3 linked regions of the Coturnix japonica genome follow. The protein of the gene in region 1 binds, or shares a complex with, the protein of each later gene. Links are inferred from orthologs where the notes say so. Each region holds a gene or a part of one and is shown in the gene's direction. Other genes may lie near its edges.

Region 1 (3,870 bases):
ACACCAGCTGCATGTTGTGGATGTTCTGTAGGAATCAGGGTCTGAATGCCCCTGGCTTTTACAGCTGGGCCAAGATTTTCTTGACCAGGGTACCATTTCACTTCCCGCTTACAGATTCTTACATCTCCAAAGTTTTGCCTGCTGTCATAAGATGGTTGTTGGTGCTACTTATAAGAGATAGTACACTGCGCAAGACGGGTGATCATAGTTACCACCAGTAATGTTAACGTGCTGTAGTTAATGCTGCATTTTAACACACTCATTACTGTTGCTCTAGGTCAGAGGTCCAGCTTAAAGTACTGGTATGAGAAGGAGTGGCTGAGTAATGGCCACATGCATGGCTTAGCGTTCTTGGAAGAAAATTACTCCCACCAGAATGCCAAGAAGATAGTAGCCACTCACCAGCTTCTTGGCGATGTACAGAGAGTGATAGAAGTACTGCATGGACTGCAGCTGAAGATGAGCATACTGAAGTAAGCAGTGTTTAAGTATCAGTTGACGTGTTCTCAACGTGAATTAGATTTCAACTAGTAGAAAAATAACAAGAAATTCAGACTGACTTTTTATGTTTCTCTGCAGATGTACGCCACCGTAGTTTGAATTGCTAATGTTGTCTTGGATAAGTGTGGTGGGGAGTGTAAACTGACAGTGTGAAGAAGAGCTGGGAAAATAAGAAGAAAAAACTAACAGCAGCTTTTCCTAAAGCAGTGAAATAGAGCAGTAGCAAATGGAGCATGGTGCATAACCATGGCAATGTTCTTATAGCACTTACTTTCTCTATCCAGTAATTTTTGAGTCAAAATCATGTCTCTTCTTTTAGCGTAATTTGTTGCCCTGTAGAGGAAGAGTGGTTGGACCTTCAGCAACCTGCAGTGTATCAGTTTTGTGCAAACATAGTATGCTAAGAACAAAACAAAACACAGCACCAACGTTGTTCCTAGTCCTTGTAGAAATCAATAGTTTTCTGTTTGAAGTCACCCTTGGTTCTGACTGAAGGTTTTTTTCCTAATCCACATCTAGCATTTTCTAATTGATTGAATACAGTTCATGATTTATTCATTGATAATTTGCTCAACAGCAGCTATTTAGAAAACAAAGCTTAGAGTGTTTCCAGTTCTTTGGTTTTTTTTTGTTTTTTTTCCTTAAGTTTAATCTGTGGTGTTGCAGTAATGCCACTGGCAGTGTTTGGAAATTAAGAAGGTGCCACTTGTAAGGTGATGCCTTGCTTTTCTGCTGAGGTGTCCTTAAGTCAGATCTGGAAGTACCTTTGTCTCAGGTGACTGGAACGTAAATATGTTCCATCTTGTGCAAAGGATCCCTTGCTGCTTTGCTCCACAGGGAGCACCTTTAGGTGTAGAATGTCTGGAGCTGGAGCAGAAAGTTCTGGTGAGAGAGCACCAGAGCATTCAGGTGCATTCAGGATACCTCACCAAGGGTGTGACAACAAACAAATGTTGTTTGCTATAGTATGTAATAATCTAATAGTTACAGTTGTCCCTGCTGCTGGAATGAATAGTGCTCAAGCTCTCCCAGTAATCCCAAGGGGCTTTAAAGGGAAGCTAGATGTGAAGGAACTAATGAAGCACTACTACACCCACCCCAAGGCTGCCATTGTTGTCATTAGAGGGTTGGACAAAATCAGTGGATTGAATTCTGAAGGTTATCTGGGGAAACTGCAGACAAAAATCTTTAAGTGAGCGACTGGGGGGGTCAGCTTGCTTTGCTGGTGTGGGAATACACCTTGTTAGTGGATATATTGTAATTCCAGCATACTTAACCTACCTGTTTAAAATACAATTAAAACCGTCCCTGTGAAAATGGGTTAATGCTGTTGTCAAATTACAGATAAGAAGACAAATCTCAGCCTTTGAGGGCAACATTGGTGAAGTTTTATATTCACATTTTTGAAGCTTATTCTTCATCTTTTCCTTTGTGCCAACACTTGGTTCATGTTAGAGAAGTGAAAGTAATGAACCTGATAGAGCACTGTAGGATGCTGCATGTTGGGTTCAGGGGAAATATTTCAACGTGTTTGTGTGTGTTTGGTGATACTGATGACCAAAGTATGTAGTATTGAAAATGTTCTTGCTTGGTTTCTTTACATGGTAGTACAGCCTACGGTCATTTTAAGCTTAAATTTGGTGGATGACTGACTTCTTTTATGTTTGAACAGAAATAAAGAACATCCTGACCTAAAGCTCTGGTGCCATCCATGGAAACACATTACAGTGGATGAAAAAATCCATACAAAACACATCATTCACATTGAAGAAAACTGTTGCAAAGAGGAGACGACGAGTTATAGAACTTGGAACGGGACAGCTGAGAAACCCTCAGCCATTCCTTCTGTGGAGGAATCTTACATCACGAGTGAACACTGTTACCAGAAACCTCGGGCCTACTACCCTGCTATCGAGCAGAGGTTGGTGGTGGAAACGAGAAGCTCAGCCATGGATGAGGGTGTAAATAGAATAAGGGAGAACGGGGATGACGTCCTGTCGGAGAGGCTCGGGTGGAATCTGGATCGAGAGATATGTAAAATGGAAAATGAATCCAAACACAATTACTCCAAGGTATTTATATTAAAATAAACTCTCTGCAGAGAGAATGCGTTTGTCTGGCAAAGTGCAGAACTCATTAGCCCCTGTAATGGCATTTAATTTATGTATTTATTTTTTTTCCTGTCGTGATGCTGAATTTAGGTTGCTGGTGCACATTTAAGTAATAGATGTGAACATCTCCACCATTTCATCCCAATAGTCAACTTCTGGGTTTTAAATCATCTGTACTCTCCATGCACTGTGCTCTGCCAGTGCGTTGTTGCTCCTTGCTTGCCTGCTTTAGACAGTACAGACAAATGCTAGGGAGAGAGCAGGGCAAGCACATGTGATACTCTCAAATACTGCTATTGCAGCTTTTGGTATTGCCAGCTTTTCTCGCATTTGTTAAATAGCAACATTAAATTGATTCCACATTCTTCAGGCAACATGTAGATAAGTAACCTGAAGTGATGGTTAGGTATAGTCATTGCTAAATAGTTCAGTTCTTTTCCCACTGACGCACTCCAGTTTTCTGCTTCTAACGATCAGTTCTCAGTTCCAGCTCCATCAGGTCCAGCAAGCTTGTATCAGAGGCCTCTCTACATTGCAGTGTGCAGATTGGCTTCTCTTAGGTGCTGTCAGGTCACGAAGTATGGTCTGACAAATGGAAGGCCTCGGGGGAAGTACTGACTGACCTCCCTGTTTCTTGGATGGGAATTCAGTTTAGCTTTTATTTTATTTCCAAAGAACATGTAAATCGTGTTCTTCCTCATTTCTCTGCCAAATCCATTGGGATGGCTTTTTGTTTCCCACAAAGATGTGTTTCAGTGTTTTGATCTCTTAGGAGTCTTTCTCTAAATCCTGTCACATTTCAGAAAAATGATGGAAGAAAGCACAGCTGCCACAGTGCAGTCAGGTTTGATAAGTTGTCTGGGTGCTTTGATGGAAGTTACAGGAGAATTGGGAATAGATTCCTTCAGGAAGAGCCCCTCCTTGCTGTAGCACAGCTTGCTCTTTGCTTGGGTTCTGTTGTTTAAAGGAATTTGTGGTGTTCTCCTGGACACACAGATTTAGTGCAGTGTCTTCCAGCAGGAAGTTATCTGTATCTGTGGGTGTCAGATACAGCTCAGTGTTACCTTCCCAGAATAAGGTGCTGGAGAAGAAGGTACAGGGAGGTCTGCTAAGACCTCACAGCTGTGAGGGTCTGTTGTGATCTGCTTTTGCCCAAACTGCCTTTACATTTTCTACACTCCGTTTTCTGTGTCTCTCTGTTGCCTAAAATCTGTGAAGCCATTAGCTCGGGGCACTGTGGGGACAACACTGCCCCAAC
Region 2 (2,956 bases), on another chromosome or scaffold:
CTTTTTCCTTTCTCCTTTAAGTGAGGTCCCTCGTGGCTTCTACACACAAGTACACGGCGTTCTGGTTTGTCAGCTGCTGCCTTGAGCCAAAGAGTGGAGTGTAAAGTGTCAGCCCAAAGGGATTATTGGTGTCTTTAGGACCCCCACCACATGCTGACAGCGCTCTCCCTGCTGCCTGCACTTATTTCCCTTCCTTAGGGAGAGCAGAACCATCCAATTACACCTAAATAAATATTGCAGAGCCACTACCCAGCAGCTCACAGCCTCAGACTTACAAATGAAATAGAATCCTGTACAAAAGAGCCCCCTCCTGCCAACCCTGTGCTTCCGTTTCCCTCTGCCCAGCTGCTTTGCTGCTCTGTTGGGAAGATGAGCAGGTCTGTGGGACACAAACCAGATCTGGTGGAATGAAGAAGCTGTGCCAGCTTCCCAGAGGGCAAACACAGCAGCTCCGGGTGGTGTTGATGTGTGGGATCCTTCACTGTGCTGCTGGCTTTCCTTGCAGGCATCAGACCCAGCTGTAACTCTAATCAGCGCTGACCCCCCCACGACTCCCTGCTGTTTTTCCCCCAGGACTCAGCAGGGAGTCACAGAAGTGCTGGGTTTAATTCTTCTCCTGTGTTTTGTTTTCTGTGTCCTTGCTACTTGTGATAAGTGGGTAACTTCTGGAGGTTGAGGTTGGCTCTTCGTTCAGCGGGTGGACCAGTTTGTAGTGAAGCTGCTATAGAGCAGCAGCATGAACTGGGGTGTTGATGTGTTTTCTCCAAGCTCTGTTTCATGGTTGTTTCAGATGCCTGCCAGCATCTCCATCTCACTGTGCTGCTTCCTCGCCCTGTTTGGAGTGCTCAGTCTCCTGTTCCTGCTGTTCTGGCCTCTCTGTCCCCTCAGGGATGGTGGGATGTCCCAGCTCTGTTAGTTGGCTGCTCCTCAGCCTTTGCTCTGTGTTCTCTGTCTTTGAGCCTGGTGTTCTCTTTTGGAGAGGTTGGCTCTGTGCTGCTGGTGACTCTCACCCCTGATGGTAACCTGATGTTACCAGCTGGGGTGAACCATGGGCTGTTCCAGGTTAGGATCTTGAATCAGCAGCAGGTCTACAAGCCTTTCCCAGTGTATTGAGCACATCTAACCCTGGTGATTGGGTTTCAGTAAAGTCTCCTTCCCATGGGCTGTGGTTCCTGGAGGAGCAGGCTTAGATGAAGGAGCCATCACATGCAAACTCTGCTGTTGCCTTAGAGCACAAAGGGCTTCACTGATGGCTTCTTGCTGCTGTTGGGGTGGAGCGTGACGAGCATCTGAGCACCTGCAGAAGCCTTCACTGCTGGTGGGACAGAGCTGGGGATGCCTGAGCTGTGTGAGAGCCTGGAGAGTGGGATGGAGATTACGTGGCAAGGAAGAGACCAGAGTCCTGGCCCTGTGGGAAGGGACCATCCTGGGGAGAGGATTCCTGGACTGATCTGAGGGGTCTACAAAGGGAGCTGGCAGGTTTGGGGTCCCCTTGCCATGCTCTGCCCAGCCCATGACAGTGCTGGAGTTTGTTTTGCAGTCACTCTGAAGGCAAAATGGGGCAGAGGGGTTTCCAAAAGTACAGCCTGAAGCCCTTCCACTTTGCTCCCAGGGCTGCAGCCCAGGGTGGGCCCCCTGCCCCCATGACTGCTGACCATGTCCTTCCCTTCTCTGCAGTGACCACAGCCAGCCCCATGAAGACCCTGTACGTCATGTCAGATGCCAAGCTGTCTGCTCTGACCAAGTCTGTGATGGATGAGGCTACCTCAGTCCCCCTCAAACTGCCAGGCATCCAACCTTCCTCCTCCTCTGCCAGCTCTCCTGCTGGCCCCGTCACCTTTGCCTCCCCCCCGTTGGCTGGCGCTCCCAGTCCTCCCAGCAGCCTGGTGCACTCCAAAGTGGGACCCATCCTGCAGCCTGCTTCCAAAGCCGTCATCCTCACCTCAACACTGGCCACCATGAAAGCCGACGGGTCCATTGGGGACAAGGTCAGTCTGACCAGGAGCACCTCAACCCTCAGCCACACGTTGGGGGCGATGGAGACCTTGGGGAGGGTCCCCTCTGTGGTGGATGATGGAAGCACCCTCCTCCATGCCAGAGAGACCCTGACAAACAGACACTTGCTGCCAGGAGGGACTGGGGCTGCCCTCCTAACGCTGAGCAGCTCCTCTGTCATCACTACAGCAGGGCCTGCGCTGGGCCAGAAGCCATAGGGACCTGGGGGACCCTCAGCATGGCTGTGGGGTGGGAGGGGGGAGGGCAGCCCTGTGCTGATGGGGCTGATTTGGGCTCTAGCAAACTGAGGGGGTGTTTTCTGGTTTTGTTGAGCTGTTTAATAAATCTTTTATATATATATATATATATAAATATATTCACTGGCTTCATCATACCTGGCTCTCCTAAAAGCTGCTCTTTCAGCAGCTGCACTGGGGGCTTCTTAGATGCTCTGAGTGTTTGAATTGGGTTTCTTAGATGCTCTGAGTGTTTGAATTGGGTTTCTTAGATGCTCTGAGTGTTTGAATGAGCCCAGCTTTGTTGGTCTGATTTCTCTCGCCTTGAGTGCACGGACAGACAAAGCAACATTGCGCTGTGGGTCCTGGGAGCAGCAATGAGAGAAGCTGTTCCATTGGAACATCCCTTTGGTTTTCTGCTTCTGAGAAGATTTGAACTTGTTGATAAAGCTCTGAGGGTGCAGAGCAGGATTTAACCTTTATAGTTGTGTATCACAGAGCATAAAGTGTCGTCAACAACCAGCCTGAAATGGGGGAAGCAGCCCCCAAATGGAGTCCCAAGGGGATGAGATAAAGCTGACGTTGGCAGCATTAAAGGTAGTTTTCCAGGATCCGTGTGTTCCAGGGCTCAGGACCAGGTCTGTCACTGGGGTTGCTTTCACAGGCTGGAGCTGAGAGCTGTGATTTGCTGTTTGTATTTCTATTACTGCTGGGGTTAATCTCAA
Region 3 (3,870 bases), on another chromosome or scaffold:
ATTGTTTTCCTGAAAATGGAATGAAACCGAGCTGTGTTTACATGGGCAGGCCCTGCAGGCAGCGAGCGTGTTCAGAACTGTTTCTTGATGGGTATTTTTAATGCAAATGGTGTGATCCAGAGATGAGAGGCCTGCTTGCAGTTATTCTGCAGCAGGATCTGCAGACCATTGGCCTGCATTCGTGGAGATAGAGAGGACCCCAACTCCCATTGATTCCATCAGAAATGAGGTTCTGTCTGCGTTGTTTCTTCAGGTTGCTTTTGCTAAGAAGGTCTCAAAAGGGCAGGAATGCAAACTAGCAAAAGCAGTTCTCCAGTGCTGGAGGATGGTGTCAGGGTTTGAACCTTGTGCTGCTTGTGGAGGTTCTGGCAGTGGCTGCAGAAACACCTTGGGCAGGATGCTGCAATGTGAGCACATAGAAATACCCATGGACCTGCTCATGGCTACAGCTGGAGCACTGCAGGCCGTGGTACAGCCCTCTGTGTGCCTGCAGCCTGTCAGCTATGGGGCATCAGGCCACAGGGCTCGAACGTTTTGCATTTTTAGATGTGAAACACTCATAAAATAGGCATGGAAAGGCTGTGTGGGTGCGGAGCTCTGCTGGTGTTTAGTAGGTGGCATCATGCATCAGTGCCACAGCAGGGCAAGGATGCTGCATGTGGGCAGGAACCTCTTTGGTGTGTGGAACAGGAAGGTGAACATTGCACTTGTTGCTGAGGGCTATTGGAGGGATGGTTCCCAAGTGTTGATCAGAAGTTTATGTCTCTTTAAGTGTGACCGTGTCTGTGAGTGATAGAGGAATAACGCTCTGCTCCTTGTTGTTCTCTCCAGTCTTCAGCCTGGCCTGGCAGAACACGCTCAGGGAGATGGCCAGGAAGCTGAGGAGCTCTTGCATAAAAAGCAGCGGCTGAATGTGGTCTCTTCAGCTTCAGATGGGACGTGTGTGGCCGCCCGCACGCGCCCGGTGCTGAGCTGCAAGAAGCGACGGCTGGTTCGACCCAGCAGCATTATGCCCCTGTCCAAAAAGGTGAGTGCTGCTCCTTTGTGCTTTACTCTCTTTTTCTGCTCTACGTAGCACCAGCTGTGCACCAAAGGAGCTCCCACACCCCATGGGTTGGTCTGCTCTGCTTTGCACAAAGACATCTCCGCTCTTTGGGAGTGTTTGTGGTTACAGAGAGGGGAGGAAGAGCAGCCCAGGGGCTGTGGGAGAAGTAAAGGAGAAATGAAGAAGCTTTTGGTTTGCTGCAGGTTTCTGTTAGCTGTCATCAGTACTGGATTCTGACAGAGGGGAGGGTTCTTTTCATAACCCACCCATCCTAAGGTAAGCTTCAGGACAGGGGGTTCAGCCTGCTAAAATGGGAGCAGCTGAGTGAAGCAGGTATGGGAAACACAGATACTGAATACAGGAATTAACACAGACCCATTATTAATACATTATTTTCTGCTCCTCCCCACCGTCCCTTTCCCACATGCAGAATTCAGCTCTGTTTATTCCCTGAGCATCCTATGTGAGGACAAACCATGCTCCATCCTTCTTAACTTCCTTCAGGAGTGCCACGAGCTGTCAGTTGGAGAACAGATGCTTCGAAATAGAATAAGGACGGGGTTTTGTTTTTTTCTTAGGATTGCAGAACTATGGATGGCACAAATCCACTTAGTTGTGTTTGAGTCACAAGTGTTTCAAGTCAAACTTAATTACCACAAAGTTTCAGGGTTTCTCGCTCTGTGGGGGATAGGGTTTAAAGGAGCTCAGAAAGAAACATTCTGCTGAGCAAAACAGATTCTGGGCCAGCTGAGTTGGCTGAAAAGTGGGAATAATCAGTTCGCTGGGGGTATTTCTGTGCTTTTACCCTCATTGAGCAGGATTTGGTTCATTTTCCATCACTTCTCTCATTCCAGCTCTCTCCTCCAAGCTGCTTGCAGCCCTTCCCAGTTGTACTGTTATTTGCTAAGGCTTAAGGATATTATCTCTTCCATCATTCGAGTCATTAGTGGAAATTATCTGAATAATACCAGACTCAACAGACTTCACAGGATCTGATTCGATGGATCCTTCCATTTCAGTGGGGGGTTCATCGGTTGCTGGCTCTGCCTGTTTTACATCCAGTTGTGCATCTGCACCACGATGGTTTTTTATACAGAGGAGGTTTATATAAAGTCTGTGAACTGAAAGTCCCTCCTGGTTTAGAGACCAAGACTGAAAACCTTCTCACTCGCTGTAGGTGTCAGCTCTTGGCTGGTGGTTCCCTGTCTTGTCTGAACTAGAAGGTGTTTTTCCTCCCTGACAACAGAATTGTGCTGTCTCATGGTTTTGTAAATGAGGTTTTCAACCCAGATAAACACTTTTAATCAAGTCTAGGGGATGCTGTGTGCAGGCAAGCAGTCGTTCTCGGCTGTGTTGATGTAAGGTCCAGACTGAATCAACAGGTTTGCTGCAGGGTGTTATAAGATCAGGGTTTATTTGATGATCTATCAAAGGGCAGCATGCAAAGAGAGCCCTGTGGGATGCTGAACTTCTCTGTGGCCTTCTCCAGGTCCACCGGAACAGCCTGGCACGGTGCAGCTGTGATGTGAACCCCTCGTGTGCTCTGTGTGGTGCCCGCAGCTCCGCGGCGCTGGAGATGCAGTACGATGCGCCGCTGCTGGAGCGCCTCTCGCAGCTGGACTCCTGCATCCATCCCGTTCTGTCCTTCCCTGATGGTGAGCACAGCAAAGCAGGGCTGTGGGGAGGGGGTTGGGGGGTCGGGCTGGGTGCTGACATGGGACACCAGGGAGTGTCTGGGGCTTGAGGAGCTGTGCAGCCTTCACCCTGAGGAGGTGCTGGTGTGATGGATGCAATTAAAACCATGCTCTTCATCTGCACGTGCTTTTAGGAGCTGAGCATTTGCTGCAGCAGAAGAGAGAGTGTTGGCTGGGGCCTGAGAGTCTGTGCTGGGTCCTGTGCTGGTGTCATAAATAGCATAATCTGAGTTGGACGGGACCATAAGGATCCTTGCATCCAACTCCATCACCATCCAAACATCAGAGCATGGTGACTGGTGGTCACAGACCTCAGCAGAGCTTATTTACCTGCATGAAACCACTTGTGGATTGGTGGAAGCTGCAGGATGTTTCTTTGACCTTGTATGGAGTTGTCCACGATCTCGAGTGGGTCAGAGGGTACAGGAGGAAGGGACGTTCCCATTAGGCTGCTGCTGCTCTGACTAAAACCTATTGGCTGCATGTACTGCTCTCCACCCATCATCGTTTCCCTCTGACCACAGCGAGGTGCAGATGATCTGAGTGGGCACTCTTGCAGGAGAGCTGAGCTGTCAGCAGGCCAGGGCAGAGGTCTCCCAGTGGAAGGGGATGGCTCCTGGGGGGAAGGTGATGTTCTGCTGCTCGTGCTTGGGTCGGGTCAAAGCCTTGTGCTCACAGATGTAAATCCAGCTCTGCACAGACTTGGTGCAGCAGCGTGGAGTGCACGGCGGAGCTTTAACATCTTCTGAAGTTCTCTGTCCCTTCTCTCTTCTCCTTTTTCTGCTCGGTGTGATTTGTAGCTGGGAGTTTGGGGATGATGTAATAACCTTGGTGGAAGGATGTGAGCCGTGCTGAGCTCGGCGCGGTTGCCATCTGCCGGTCCTTGGATGCTCTGCACCGTGGCTGTGACCATCACAAGGGCAGCACAGTTTGTTTGCCTTTTGTCTTTGTGTTTCTGCCTCCTTTCAGCCTGGCCCATCCTTCCCCAGATGTGTCAGCTGCTGACGGTGGAATGTATTTCCAGGAAGAGGCAGGAGATGAGCAAAGAGCGGAGGCTGTTTTCCCCTCAGGGCCCTCTCTGAGCCCTCCCTCCCCTTTGGGATCAGTCTGTGCAGGCTGTCAGTGGTTGAA

The links. The genes of interacting proteins can lie anywhere in the genome.
Region 2: PHF20 (region 1) and KANSL3 share a complex: the UniProt entries of both Homo sapiens proteins name them as parts of the NSL complex. The link is inferred for Coturnix japonica from reciprocal best matches to the Homo sapiens genes PHF20 and KANSL3.
Region 3: PHF20 (region 1) and KANSL1 share a complex: the UniProt entries of both Homo sapiens proteins name them as parts of the NSL complex. The link is inferred for Coturnix japonica from reciprocal best matches to the Homo sapiens genes PHF20 and KANSL1.

What each region holds. Positions count from the first base shown.
Region 1 is NC_029535.1:781,372-785,241, reverse strand, and holds part of PHF20 (PHD finger protein 20), read left to right. Parts: intron 1-277; coding exon 278-473; intron 474-2,173; coding exon 2,174-2,573; intron 2,574-3,870. UniProt on the Homo sapiens protein: Methyllysine-binding protein, component of the MOF histone acetyltransferase protein complex.
Region 2 is NC_029537.1:1,133,265-1,136,220, forward strand, and holds the end of KANSL3 (KAT8 regulatory NSL complex subunit 3), read left to right. Parts: intron 1-1,677; coding exon 1,678-2,213; 3' UTR 2,214-2,359; downstream 2,360-2,956. UniProt on the Homo sapiens protein: Non-catalytic component of the NSL histone acetyltransferase complex, a multiprotein complex that mediates histone H4 acetylation at 'Lys-5'- and 'Lys-8' (H4K5ac and H4K8ac) at transcription start sites and promotes transcription initiation.
Region 3 is NC_029542.1:2,356,900-2,360,769, forward strand, and holds part of KANSL1 (KAT8 regulatory NSL complex subunit 1), read left to right. Parts: intron 1-831; coding exon 832-1,027; intron 1,028-2,534; coding exon 2,535-2,700; intron 2,701-3,870. UniProt on the Homo sapiens protein: Non-catalytic component of the NSL histone acetyltransferase complex, a multiprotein complex that mediates histone H4 acetylation at 'Lys-5'- and 'Lys-8' (H4K5ac and H4K8ac) at transcription start sites and promotes transcription initiation.